Rhinolophus ferrumequinum: one gene and its partner. The protein of the gene in region 2 purifies or fractionates together with the protein of the main gene of each other region. This does not show direct contact. Links are inferred from orthologs where the notes say so. Each region holds a gene or a part of one and is shown on either strand. Other genes may lie near its edges.

Region 1 (7,756 bases), on a different chromosome or scaffold from region 2:
TTTTGTTATACTTCCTGTGTAATTTGCAACTGTACGGATATTTTAGTTGGCAACTTAGTATCATGCTATCTGTTAGATATTTATTAGGATAGCTTAACACTGCTAGTGTTCACCACAGAAAAGAAAAAACATCATTACTCACTAATTAAAATAGAAAAAATTATTTTTCAGAAATACATTTTGTTGAATTAAAAACATGTTGACAACTTTATACATAGACAGTATTCAGTACCAGATGAGTAATATTTGATTACTATCAGATGTAACAATAAAACAAATTTTTTTTCCAGTGATAAAAGGAAACAAAAACCTGATACTTGGAACAAATAAATCACTATGCAGAGAATTTTTTTTATACCATCTTGATATTTGTATCAAAAGGCATAATGTATAATAATTTATATATTTTATAGTATAAATTTCATCATTCTAATGCTAAGATAAAAAAACATGTAGATGGTTATTTCCATACAAAATCATTTTAGAACACCACAAAATTTACCAGTAAAATACATTTTAAGTTTGATTTAACATAATTGCACATACTGAATTTAATTACAGATTATTTTTAAGTTGAAATTCAGAGAAACATTAATAAATTGTTTTAAAAGTCTATTAAAATGCTATGTAGGATAAAAATGATAAGAACAAGAAAGGACTTTATGGCAAAATCAACTCAATAAAAAACATAAATTTAATTTTGATAAAAAGTTCCAAGTTATTTCTCAAAAGGTAAATTCTCGTTTAAGTTTAATATAATCCATTAATCAAAGAAAAATGGACTTCATAGTTTCTTGTTATGTGGCAATTTTTAACAGAGTTTATAGACCTGATCATACTATAAACTACTTCTGAATATCCGGAAATAATATTAAAATATGGTTTCTAATAAGTAGTAGGGAAAAATAATCCATTTCTCTTTTTATGAAAAGCCCATGTTATAGTATCTTTTCCTATAACAGTAAGTTAATTCATAAAACTAAAGTTTCACTTCAGTAGAATTACTATTTTTACTTTACAAAGAAAAGGATTAGATTAATACAACTGGGGTGTCAATGAACTTGATTGTTTGTCACAGACAAGCAAAGAGACTGTAGAGCAGCTTTCCGTAAATGTCCACAGGGTAGGGGGCTACTGGAAGGAGCACTCCGCAGCACACACCTTGGTTTTATTTGGCTTTGCCTTTCATTAGCAGTTTGGCTTGGACGGACAGTTACCTTTCCAAATTTTAGTTATCTTCCTCTGTCTCTGTCAAGTGCACTTAGTCTCTTCAGTTTTAAAAGACCCTAATTATGCAATATCTATAAAGTTAGGAAGAACAAAAAGCAACCCTCATATAACTCAAAAAAATAATAATAATGCAGAACATACAAAACGGTTTGTAACTTGCAATGTAATATTTCCAGAGCTGAATTCGTAAATCTTTGAAGCATGTCCAGCTAGGATTCTATCAGTAAAGACTTGGATACTGTATTCATAATGGAACTCTCTCCTCTCACATTATTCCTCCACCTGCTCCTCCCCTCCCTGCTTCATTCCTCCTTTTAAAACCAGCAAACGGTTGGAAACATTGGAAGCTTCAGGATCAAATCATTTTAAAAGATGCATCTTCAATCAAGTGTATCACCTGCTTCCCCACATTTCTCTCTAACGGGAGTGAATTTTCACAAAGAGAATACAAGCATGAATAAAACTAAGCAGAAATGGACCAGGTCTGTTTTTTGTTTGCTTCGATTGCTTAAATACACAAAACGGCAAGACGGAGCCTTAGCTATTCCCGTAGGAACGTGAATGCATTTACCCACCCAATGAAAAAACAATCCTGCTGCTTCACTTCCCTGCTACACAATAGCTTCGTCGTCAGGCCCTTCCTAGTCCAGGCTTCATCGTCATCTAGCAATTTTATATTGATCACTTTGGCAATGCTTGCACAGGCACTGTCCGTGTCTTCCAGGAGCTTTCATTCTTCAAATAAATAACAGTCTACTCAACACCGAAAAATAGAGATTCTACAAATTCCACGTCTTCCCGCCCAGTGTTAGGCAGCGCTCATAATTTTCCCCCTTGGGGAATAACACGAAGGGAACCGTACCCACACCCCACGTTTGAATCTCAGGACAATGAAACCGACAGGAAGCCACGCTCTGCTCCCGGGGGCTGACTCCCGAGCCAAAGCTCCCGCGGGGTCCGGTCGCCTGGCAGGGTGCGTGACACCACGTCTTCCACGCCCTCCGAGCGCGTCCGAAAGGCTCCTCGCCTGACCTCCCGCCAACCACCCCACAGCCCAGAACCAACCACAAAAAAGGATCGGCGCTGTTAGCTGCTCCCAGCCGGGGAAACAGCACTTCCCCAGCGGCAGCGCGGCCATTCCCTCCGCGCCCCTCGCGCTGCCACGGCGGATGGGGGAGGGCTGCACAAAGCCCCGAGAGAGCTGAAATGATTCCGTACGTTCCGGCGAAGGGGCGGAGGCGGCCACGGGCCGGGAAAGCCGCGGCCGCAGCACCGAAGGGCCGGCGGGTGGGGGTGGGGTGAGGGTGGGGTGGGGAGACGAGGGCTGGCCCGGCCGAGCCCCCGGCCGGTGCGTGGGGGTGGCGGCGCCGCGAGGAGCATCCGGGAAGCGCCCCCGGCCCCGCCCGGCCCCGCACCCTAGCCCCGCCGCAGATCGCGGCCCGAGCCCCCGCTGCAAACCCAAGGAAGAGGATGTGGAAAGTGGCCGCGACGGGATCGGCAGCGCCTAACCCAGCAGTTGAGCGCATCACTTACCCCTCACCGCGGAGAGAGGGACCGGACGGGGGAGGCGGGGCGCGTCGCGTCCCGTGAGTCTCTCGCACGCCGTCCTCCCCCCACACTGTCGTCGTCGTTGCCGCTGTCGTCGTCGTCGTCGTCGTCCCGGCCGCTGTGATCGAGCTCCCGGCCCCTCAGCTCCGCTGGGCACTAACGTTATTCCACACACGCCCCACACATAGCGGTAACGGCAAAGAGCGGCCGCCTAATGCGCAGGCGCTTGGAGAAAGGGCGAGCAGCCCGGCCCTACCCCCTTCCCGGCTCAGTCCCAACGATCGCTTACTGCGCAGGCGCCAAAAACAGACAATGAAAAGGGGCTGTGCAGAGGGTCTCGCCGCAGGGTTTTACAGCTGCCTACTGCGCAGGCGTGCCTCAAAGACCAGCTTGAACAATGAGGAGGACCCCAACTTTAGCAGGGACGGCTACCAACGAGGACTACCGTTCCCAGCGGGCAGTGCGCCAACCCCAAGTGGAGGTCGGGTGGCTGGGCATGCTAGGATTTGTAGTGTCAGCCGCCTTTCACAATCTAGGCTCTTTGGAATATTTAGAGCGTATTTCTCTTGAGAATTTGTCTGTTTTGGCAAATGTCGTGGCTGAAGAGTGTTGAGCTTGTTATTTGCGTCCTTGAAAATCTTCAAGAATCGACTGCATATTAGCAAATTGCTTAGAAAAGTCAAGGCCTTCTGCGAGCCCTTTCTGTCATTTTGGGTGGTCCAAACAGTAGGATGGGATGAAGGCAGGACTAAATCAGGAAAAGGGCGGAGCTTCCGAGCAGTCTCTTGGCAACCGGATCCGGCCACCAAACGGCCTGAGCTGGCTCTGGGAGCGCAGTGCCCTCTGGGAATTGTAGTGTAGTCAGAAGGTCTCAGAAACTTGGACACTGCAGGCTCGGAGTCTGAGAACCACAACTCCCGTCATCCACCAAGAGGGCTAGTAGGGGGGAAGAACCCCCGCGAGCCCGGTCCGGGGTTCCATGCTCCCCATTGACAGCAGCGGCAGGAAGCTGGCGGGTCCACCCGGGGCGCTAAGGCCTCCTGTTCTCGGAGGGGAGAACATTGGACTATTCCCCACGTAACTCCCATCTCTGATCCTGAGTCTGTACATGGCGAAGTCCCCGGAGAACTCTACCCTGGAGGAGATTCTGGGGCATTATCGACGGAGTCTCCGGGGTGAGTTGCTCCGAACCTCCGTGCCCCGTGGTACCAGGGCCTAGTGGGCGGGAGCTGACTAGGTGTGTTTCCTATCACCTTGGTTCGGCCTCAGCCAGGATGCAGAGGAAGAAGATGGATGTTGCTGTTGAAGGATGTTTTTGAGGAAGAATGAGATCGTTTGTGTTTTTACTGTTAACCATTAGTGTTTCCCTGGTTCCCTTACTACCTGAACCAACTCTCTGATCTTGATTTAGGCATCTTTCTCACCCAGCGCCAGCAGAACCTGTTGAACGGCTCTATGCCACTTTTGCACATTTCCCATACTTTGCTCTTTAATGAGTTCCTGCTACACACTATTTACACATTCACAGTACGGTGTAGTGGATTGAATGATTTATTGGACCAGGAAAAGAAAGCACTAATAATTATTTTAATCACAACAGCTCTATTTAGTGCTCTAGGCTATTTACATACATTATATCATTTAAAACTTAAAACAACCTTATAAATATCCCTATTTTACACATGGGGAAATAAATGGAGGTGCAAAGACGATAAATCAGGACAAAGCCCACACAGCTGCTTAGTGGCAGAGACAAATCTTAAAGTCAGTCAGGCCTGTCTTAAAAGCCTATATTTTTCTTTATGAATCCTGTCACAATTACTATTACTTACTAAAACCATATTTAGTTAATTCAGATTTTTTTTTTTAGTATGGCACCATATGAATGAGTATCTATAGAACTGAAGATTGTATTCTGTCACCTTGGACATATATAACATTTAAAAACCTTAGTTCTGTTCCCCCCCCCTCACTATTTCCCCTTCTTTTTAGCTCCTGTAAACCTCTGTTTTACTTTCTGTCTCTATCAATTTGCCTATTCTAGGTACCCCATCTAAGTGAAATCATACAATATTTTTTCTTTGATATCTGGCTTATTTTACTTAGCATATGCCTTCAAATTTCATTCATATAAAAGTGTCTTTGTGTGTAATGAGATGGCTGGTGTCTGAGAGCCCCTAGGCAGCTTCAGGATTGGGGCCGGTCGCTAGAAAGACCCAGCCACAATTACAGGGTTGGAACTTTCAGCCCCATTCCCTAGTCTCCATAGAGGGGAGAATGTGGAGATTGCGTTAGTCACTAATCTAATCGTATTTATGTAATGAAACCTCCATAATACCCTCCAAACAACAGGGTTCAGAGAGCTTCCCAGTTGGTGAACCCATCCATGCGCAGGGATGGCGATGCACCCAGAGAGGGCTTGGAAGCTCTGCACCCCATCCCCATGTCTCACCTATGCATCTCTTCCATGTGGCTGTTCTTGATTTGTACCCCTTTATAATGAACCAGTAATAGTAAATAAAGTGCTTTCCTGAGTTCTGTGAGTCATTTTAACAAACAGTAGAGCCAAGGAGGGGGTTGTAGGAACCCTTTGAATTTATAGCCAATCAGTCAGAAGTACTAGTGATAACCTGGGACTCGTGACTGGCATCCGAAGTGGAGGTAGTCTTGCGGGCCTGAACCCTTCAGTTGTGGAAGCCCTCTTTGGGTGCATTGCCATGCCAGCACATGGATGCAGTCACCAACTGGGAAGCTCCAGTTCTGTTATTTTAAAGTGGAAGTTACGGTGTCGTCTACAGGGTTGTTGTGAGAAGCAAATGAAATAATCCATATAAAGCAATAATTTTGAGACTTTCTTTTTTTTTTCTTTTTACTGTCACTCATCAGTAAAAATACATTTTATATGGGACAAATACGTAAACTAAAAGAAAAGTTTCATTAAAAAATACTAAATGTAATGCACTCTATTTTCTCTTCTGTTGCATTTTCTTAACCCTCTAGGTCATGACCAACAGTTTTAAAAAATTATGTAAAGCATTTAGAACACTGATTCACTTATTAATTGAGTGCCTACTGTGTGTTAGGCATACTAGGTCCTGGAGATACATAAGGAACTAGACAAAGTCCCTGTCCCCTTGGAGCCTCTGGATTCGTGGAGGAGAAAGACAATAAACAAAATAATTACAGATTACTAGGAAAGACAATAAGGGTAAAGATCAGTGGTTGGCATATAAGAAGCACTAATTAAATGTTAGCTGCTATTTATAATTGGTACCTGCAACAAAGGGAAGGTTTTTCAAGAAGATTAGAAAGTTTATTTTCAAGTGACTCTAGATTTTGTAAGAGTTATTATTTATTGTTCCCACCTGTCAGCAGTGTTACAAACTGTCAACACTGTGAGTATTCAAACTGCAAGAGTAAAATAATTGGTCTTAATGAATATCTTCATCATCCTAGTGATGTTTCAAGAACTTTTAGATACAGAAATAACCACTTCTAACTTTCATTTGAAAGCAAGAAAAATACTGTGCACAATGATAATGTGAGTGATTCTGTTTAATTTTTGAGGTTGGCAAAAAATTTTTGTTTTCCATTATAAGTATCTCCTAATGTTCTTCCTTCTTTGACCTTATTTTGAACTTTTATGTAAGTATTAGAGGCCATTTAATATTAGGCATTTTGATGCAATGGTTAATTTAAACTAATGTTAGAGTACTACTGTGTTTAATACCCATGATAATGCTTTCAGTAATTACAAAGTGAAGAGTTTTTATTCAAAGCTAATACATTTTAAAATAAGTTTTAAATTTAGTGTGCTAACAATGTGATAGTGAAAACATTTATAATCAAGAGCAGACAAAGCAGAGAAAAAAGTTTACTTTAAAAAAAAATGTTTAGTGACCATTTTAACAATGAATCAAGAAATGGAACCTGATTTTTCATGGGTTTCCAGGACTTATTTTATTATTTATTTAGTAGCATTGTTTATTTTTACATTTATTTAGTTTATATAACAGCTCATGGACGGAAACAAAACAAAGCGAACTTTGAAGGGAAGCACAGTCAGAAGTTCTTCACTCCATACATATAAATTACCCCCTTTTAAGTAGGATAATTCCTTTTAAAGTCAACATTTGTGTTTCAGAACAAAGTATGGTGGCATTATTTTATATGTAGAACTTCATTTTGAGTGTTTGTGCCTAATAACTTGAAATTGTGTTCTATACAATCAGACAAAATGCAATTTAAAGTTTCTTTGCTTTGTTTTGTTGGTTTGTTTGGTTTTGTCTATCTGCCATTACTTCCCCAAAATGTCTTGCCTAGTTCTTGTTTAGAGAAAAGGCTGATAAGCATTTGTAGTCTTTCCTCACAGGTTACTCCTCTGGTTTTTAAATACCTATACCTGTAATCATTATTTGTATACCTTCATTTATATTCAGACAGCAAGTAACCACATAAAAATGCAAAATGCTTTCACAAGTTTCCATTTTTTATAGCTTTGCCTCATTTCTTCACTTTAAATATAATTTTCGGTATTACAGTATATTAAGAATTTGAAATTCTGATGTGAAAGCGGAGTCAAAGTTCACTTTCTTGCTTTTAAAACCTGAGTGTACGTCTTGCCTCTCCTTGACTCTGATGAGCCCAGAGCAGCCATGGAAATAGAGAGCCCATTTCACACTCCACCCTCACGTCTTATCCTTTCCCTTACACTTTTCAGATATATTCATTGTTTGCCCCCTGTAAGGATATCTCCTGCTTTTGGTTGTCTATGCCCCCGCTGCAAGAAATTGGGCAGGTTTAATGACATTCCTTCAAAGTTAGAGTTCTGACATAAAAATTAAAAGACCTCATTACCCCAAAATCTGTAATATTATCCCTCCACGGTAGATGATATGAAAGTTTCCAGTGGGGTAATAAGTGAGCATATTCCAAGTATCCTGGGAATCACAGAGCTTAACATAGAACTGGAAGTGAC
Region 2 (7,294 bases):
TTTGAATAATTTCTCAGTATTTTATGTGGCTGAAAGACCTGAAACCCCACAACAAACCAAGGAAGAAGGCACTATTATCAGCCCCATTTTACAGATGAGGACATTGAGGCCCAAGGTCCCACACCTTCATTGGCAAGGTGGGGATACAAACCCAGGTAGTCTGGCTCCAATGCCAGGACTTTGGGCCCTGCAGGGGAGACACAGCAGCGAGCAAAAGTGGACACTGTCCATTCCCTCATCGAATTTATAGTCTAGAGGTTCACCAACTAAAGAAACAAATGAACAATCACATTTAAAATTTAAAAATTTTCTAAGCAAAGTAAGCTAAATGGGCCAGCCCCCATCATGGTTGATCAAACAGAACTGTGATATTTTCATATTTTGAATAGACTAGTTTCTAATTGTAAAGTAAAATATTCTCAAGCAAGTCCTTGGCCTCAGAAATGAAAGGCAAATATAAGACAATAATAGCTAACACTTATTGAGCATTTACCAGGAGCCAGGTGTTGTTCAAATACCTATAACTATTAACTTATTTAATGTTCTCAATGACCCTGTGCTTTGGTCACTACTGTCATCATCATTTCCATCTTACAGGTGAGGAAACAGATGCCCAGAAGGGTTGCCATCCAGGAAGCAGTGCCAGGACTCTAATCCAGGCAACCAAGCAATGACACTCACTTTTTATCTGGCAATCAGCACTACTGGGCATTAGTATAACTGGTAATTTTCAGACTAGGTCTTTTGCAGGCCAAGTGGACTCTGCACCACCAAACAATTGATGTCAAAATAAATGACATCAATTACCCAAAATGCACAATCATAACAGTAGTAGCTAACACTAATAGAGTATTTGCAATGTGCCAGGTATTGTTCTAAGTGCTTAAGATATGTGACCTCACTTAATCCTCACAAATACTCTATAAGAGCATATTTATACTATTATCCTCATTTTACAGATGAGGAAATTGAGGCACAGAAAAGTTCCTAAGAGGGAGATTTTAAGGTGTATTCTTATCATTATTCCTCTACTTTATACATAGTTTAGAGCTCATAAGGCACTTTCAGGTGGAAAATACAAGATGAGGGCTATGAAATATAGGGCGCTGGGTGAGAGATGAAGGTGGTTGTCTGCTTTAGGCTGGGGTTGAGACCTGAGGGATGAGGAGACTGCAACAAACAGCCCAGACAGAGAACTCACCAAACACAAAGGCTAGGAGGAGGGAAAGACCTTGGCGCCTCAGGAAAACAGACAGGACAGTGTGAGTGGACCTTTGTGAGAGGGTGAATGAGAGAGGTACCGCCAGACAGGTGGGCAGGGGCCACTTGCTCAGGGCCTTTCAGCCAGGAGTAGGTGATAAAATCAAAGTGCAGCAGGAAGCAGAAACAAGATCTACTAGCAGCTATCATGTATCCACCCTTTATCTGGACTCTGCTAGGCAAGTCATATTCACAATTTCATTTCATCTCCCTGCAACTCCATGGTACGGTTGTTGTTATCTCCATGTTATAAAAGCAGACTTTGTGGCTCAGGGAGCTGGAGAACAATTTTTTAAATTGTTGCTGTGCTAATGGAATTCCCTCTACGTACCTACTCTAAAATAGTCTCCAAAATTTCTATGTCTCAGGACTTAGGGAACTATTCTGTATGCCCTCCCCTCCAGGCAGCGCTGCTGAGATTTTACAAATATTACATCCGCTCCATAATTTTGGATGGCAATATGGAATAAGAATCCCACCTTGGTAAGAGAGATGGCAGGGGGTAAGGAAAGGAGGGATACATACAGGTGAGGGACAGTTGGGGCAAATAGGCCTCAGGACCCTAAAGACCCAGCGGGGGCGAGGTCAACAAAAGTGGAAGGGCCCAGAAAGAAGTCTAAAGACAAGCGATACACACGCAGGAAGGCGGGACTAGGAGGTGATTAGAACTAAAATACACTCCGAAAGATGGGACTAGGGAGGAACCCAGAAATGCTCCAAGGGCTAAAGGTGGGGCCAGAGATTGAGAGGTGGGACTAGGAATGACGGACAGTACCTGAGAGAATGAGACGGAAAGTGGGAGGAGCCTTGACCAAAGGGGCGGGGCTTATAGATGAGGCGGGTCCAGAGAGCAGCCTGAGGGGAAAAGCCAGGAGCTGATAGGCGGAGCCAAAGATCTAAGGGCAGGACCAGGAGAGGGCAGGACAAGCAGCTCCTTACCCGGTTCTGCACCGTGTCTTCGGGTGCCGCCGGGAGTCGCGTCCGCCGCCGGTGGCAGAGCGCTGGAGCGGGGGGCGGGGAGGACTGGCCCCTCCGCGCCGGAACTCCCGCCATGACGGATGACAGCTTCTCGACTTCATCGTTCCGCGCGTAGCCCCCGGAGCCCAAGGCCGCCATCGTCGTACCGGAGCCGGGCGACCGTTACTCATCCACCGCCGCCGCCAAGACCTACTCGAATAACGAACAGCCGCGGGAAAACCGGCGCTGCCGCCCATTGGATGCGGTAGCCGCTGGTCTGGCCAATCTCAGGGCTGCCGGGTGGCGCTTTTGACCAATGAGGGCTAAGAGGCGGAAAGGCGTGTCTGGCGGGGAGGAGCCACAATTAGTATATTTGATGCTTGACCAAGCATGGTGGCGTTTTTTTATCCAGTCTGTGTTTTCATCATTCACTGAAACATACTGGTTTTAACTTTTACGTGACTAAGACCAAAGCCGCCTCATCTCGCTTTTTGCTGCTGCCCCCGGGTGACTATACGCGCAGTGGCAGTCTCCCGGATGTAAATGTAGGGTGGAGCCGAAAGAGACTGACGATTTGGCGCTGGCTCAGAAACGCCGTGACGCCACCTCTCCCCAAACCTGTGACAAAGTACGGGTGGCTAGAAGAAGACGTATTCGTTTTCCCCCACTCACCACGTGACCAGGGCGTAGCTGTGGCAAGGCGGCAGGCCGGATAGTACGCAGGCGCTCTCGACCCTCCCGCGGCACGTGACGAGGCACCCAGCTCCTCACATGAAGCAGGAGGAGAGCGCGCGGGCGGGGCGGGTTCGGTGGCTCCCGGCGACGACCAAAGTGTGGCTGCAGACCGTGCAAAACTCAACGGGGCTGGACAGCCATGCCCAAGTACTGCTGGGCTCCGAACTGCTCCAACACTGCCGGCCGACTGGGCGCCGACAACCGCCCTGTGAGCTTCTACAAGTGAGCGCAAGTGCGGGGCGGGGCGTGCAGGGAGGCGGGGCCTGTAGGGGGCGGGGCCCGATAATAAATGCAGCTGTTCTCGCACCTGGTCCAGCTTTCAGGCCTCTAGAGCAGGGTTAGCAGGGTGAAGAGACGGTATTTTCAGCATTTCATCAGTAAGCATCGCACATACAAAGGTGCTAATATGGGAAATAGGCAGAGAACGGGGCGAGCGGAAAACGGGGAGTGCTGTGTAGGGAGAAGTGAGGTTGGTCCAGGCTTTGTAAGAGCCTACAACTGCCCAAGGGCCAGCTCCACGAATTTGAGCCATCTCAAACTCAAAACTTCGGAAACCAAATTCCTGATCTTGCCTCCTCCCAAACCTTCCACAACCTTTCCTATCTTAGTTAATAGCTTACTCCAACCTTCCTGTAGTTCAGGCTAGAAACCTTAAAATCATCCTTACCTATTCTCTTTCCCCACACTTGAGAAAGTAAAAATTAGTTTGAACTGTAAAAAAATCGGCCTTCCCATTTATTTGGCTGTAATAATAGACAGGGGAAAAAGCCAGATGAAGAGTTAATAGGAAAAAAATATTTCTATATTTTTCTCAGGGACATGCTGCAGATGTAAAGTGACACAACTTCCCTTCTTTGAGTGACTACTGCTTTCTTACTCACTAGGAAACTTTATTCTCTAAAATCATAGACTATCACAAACTTTGCTGTTTGAAGTTATATCAGTAAGAATTGAACATCTCACTTATAACGCCTGGAGGAGTTAAGTCACTTTGACATAGAGAAGCAGCCTCGATTTACAATCCAGGTGCAGAGCTTCAGGTAAGGCGTTGCTGGACACAGTGTTCCACAACTATATACACTTGATTGCTTCCTGGTGGACAGGACCTTGGGCCCACTTCACAATCCAGACTTAATATTGATCCCTCTGCGCACAGTTCTACTTTGCTTTGAGCCTATCCACTTTTATTTATATCTCATCTAAGTTTCACCCTTTCCCCAAACCCAAATAATACTTCTGTTGTTTTCCTTTGTTTGGTGAGACTGCCAACATGCAGTCACAGGGATCTGATAAACACCTGAGACAGATCACGGTCCTCCTCTCTGCTCAGATCCCTCCCCTGGCTCCCACTTCACGCTATAAAAGACAAGAAGATGAGGCTGGAGCAGGCAGGAAGCAGGCCTATTAAGCCCTACAGGAACTGGATCCCCAATATCTGTATGACCTCATGTCCCTCCTGCCCCTTACTCTGCTCCAGTGTCATTGGCCTACTCGATGCTCTTCTAGCACTCCAGGCACATTGTTGCCCTAAGGCCTTTGCCTGTGCTGTGCCTTCTGTGTGGAAAATTCTTCCCTTTATGACCATCACTCTATGTAAAATGATAACCCTCTCCCAGATCCATACATATTCTCCCTATCTGCCTCCTGCTCTATTTTTCCCTTTACACTTATCACTGTTTGGCAAGCCACCTATTTGATGTATTCATTTATTGTCTTCCTCCACTAGAATGTCAGCTCCATGAAGGTAGGGATTTTTGTCTGTCTTATTCTCTGTTGTGTCCCTCTGCACCAAGAACTGTGCCTGGCACATAGAGGGTGCTCAGTAAATATTTGTTGGATGAATTCAATGAATGCATTTCAGATGGACTCCCCAGGAAACCCAACAGTACAAATGCCTTGAGGGACCCTGGTACAGGGTAGGAGGATTGCATATGAGTCTTTAAACCTAAATCACTGTGTCCAGACTTGCTTTTTAAAATATATCATTCTGGCACCATTTGTTAATTCAGCAACTCTGAGTGTCTCCCTGGAGAAAGCAAGCTCCTGCAGGACACAAAGGACCCTGACAGATTTTGTTCCTGCCCTGACAGAGCTCATGGAAAGGTGAGGGGTCAAAATTGAAGAAATGAATACACAATCTGGACATCATCCATAAGCCTTTCTTTTCTTTAGCACCATTGCCCCCAATTTAGTCCATTATCCCATCCTTTTACTCTACCCTTTGGACACATTCCCATCCTGCAAAAATCACAACAAAACCCCTAACACCTTGGCAACGCAGTTATAAACACAAATAGGAAACTCCTAACTAAACTAGTAGGAAATAAGGAAAATAAAAACACTTTCCCAGTCTGACCACTTCTTGTCACCTCTGCTGTCACAGCATAGTTCAGTCTGCCATCATCTCTTAACGAAACACTGTGATAACTGCTTGCTGGTTTCCCTGCTTCCACTCTTGCCTCCCTTACAACAACAACTTAGACGCACTCACTGTATGCCAGGCACTATTCTAAGTGTTTCACATATAATAGGAAGGAGAACAATGATAACGATACATAGTAGCCAGATGACTTTATAAAAATCAATTTATGTCTGTGTTATTTAAGTCCCACCAATGACTGTCAGGCTGTTCCTCACACAGGCTAGTCCATTTCCACCTCAAGGCCCACCCCTGAGTCAGTTTTACAGAAGTCACTTAGCTAATAGTTGGGTGAAGAGCAGTTTCTAAAGGAGATTCAGGAGAGGGCATGGATGCTACGTAGGAACAAGGTGAAACATATCAGGGAAAGTGGCTGCCAGGGAATAACTTAAACTGCCCAGCAGCCAAAGGAAACATTAGTTCTGTTTTAGGCCCTTCAAGAACAAGTGACAGTCATCTCTAATCAGGGGGTATCATTTAGGAATTGTATCTGGTTGGCAGTAACAGAGTCCTGAAATAATAGTGGCTTAAACAAACGGGGTATGTAGAAATCAGCATGGTTAAGTTATGTTGTAGTAACAAACTCACAAAATCTCAGTGACTACTACAACAAAGGTTTATTTCTTGCTCACACTATGCCCTTTACAGGTCATTTGTAGCCCTACTCTATACTATCTTAATTGTGGACTCAGGCTGAAGAAGCCGCCCCTATGTGGAATATTGCTAGGGAGAAGAGCAAGTGGGGAGAATCACCCAATGGCTCCTGGTAAATTGTATATTTAGAAATGACCCACGTCAGTTGCACTCTGTCGGCCAAAATAAGTTTATGGTAAGCCTGCTCCTCACCCAACTCTTAGCTAAGTGGCTTGTGCAAGACTGACTCAGGCATGGGCCTTGAGATGGAAATGAACTAGCCTTTGTGAGGAAAAGCCTGACAGCCATTGGTGCAACTTAACACACAGACATAAACTGATTTTTATAAAGTCATCTGGCTACTATGTACAGTTGCCATAGGGTCTATGAACAGGGTCAGTGGAGTGGAAATGTGTAATTTTCAAATGGGGATGGGAGCAAATATTTTGAATAATACTACAGTCTACCTACCACAGGGTTGATTTTTCTCTCATATAAAACAAGTACAGAGATTGGCAGACCATCACTGGTGTAGAGGCTTTCACAGTCATCAGGGATGAGGGTCCTGTCTTCCTGCTCTATCATCTTAGCAGGTAGCTTCCATTCAAGATGGCTGCCAGTGCCCCAGCCATTGTGCCCTACCATTCCTGGTAGGAAGAAAAGGAAAGGGAAGAAGAGCAAAAGGGACTCAACTCTAAACTGAGTCAGTCCCCTTTACAAAGTCTTCCCAGAAACCCCACCCAGTGTTGGGTTCTTTGTCATTGATCACCCCCAACTGCAAAGGAGGCTGGGAAATGTAGTCTTTTAGCTGAGCATTTAATCACCCTGAAGAAATTTTGAGTTAACATTACTAAGGAAGGAAAGATCTTCTAGCACTGTATGCCACTTCATGCTCTAGATAAGATGACCAACAAGACCGAGGCTGAAGGGACTGCAGCCGCTGTGGGCCCTGCTATTCTGGTCTTTGGGTGCCACAGCTCTTCTCTGAATCAGCCCTTCTGTCGTCTTTCACCAGCTGCCCCCCACCTGCCCTCTCTGTCTCCCTTTTGCCTGAGAATTCTTGCTCTGGCCCCCATTTCTGTCCATCCCATCCACCTCATTCCCACTGGTGACCTCTTTAGGTTTTTTTTGTGTCCTTCCCAGTGTTTCTTTATGCAAATACAAGCAAATCTGAATATATGTTTTTATTTCCCCCTTTATTACTGTACTAGTTTCCTGTGGCTGCTATAACAAACTTGGTGGCTTAAAACAGGAATTATTCTCTCAGTCTATACCAGTTTTACTGGGCCA

What was found. The genes of interacting proteins can lie anywhere in the genome.
Region 1: the proteins of WDR62 (region 2) and CEP170 purify together in Homo sapiens (affinity purification with mass spectrometry; 3 studies listed by BioGRID and IntAct, with this or other methods). This does not show direct contact. The link is inferred for Rhinolophus ferrumequinum from reciprocal best matches to the Homo sapiens genes WDR62 and CEP170.

What each region holds. Positions count from the first base shown.
Region 1 is NC_046310.1:17,589,299-17,597,054, reverse strand, and holds the start of CEP170 (centrosomal protein of 170 kDa), read right to left. Parts: upstream 3,003-7,756; 5' UTR 2,764-3,002; intron 1-2,763. Other genes in the region: SDCCAG8 (serologically defined colon cancer antigen 8), read left to right, coding at 3,887-3,953.
Region 2 is NC_046298.1:36,319,270-36,326,563, reverse strand, and holds the start of WDR62 (WD repeat-containing protein 62), read right to left. Parts: upstream 3,012-7,294; 5' UTR 2,890-3,011; intron 2,562-2,889; exon of another isoform or gene 2,428-2,561; 5' UTR 2,377-2,427; coding exon 2,200-2,376; intron 1-2,199. Other genes in the region: THAP8 (THAP domain-containing protein 8), read left to right, coding at 3,092-3,174. UniProt on the Homo sapiens protein: Required for cerebral cortical development. Plays a role in neuronal proliferation and migration.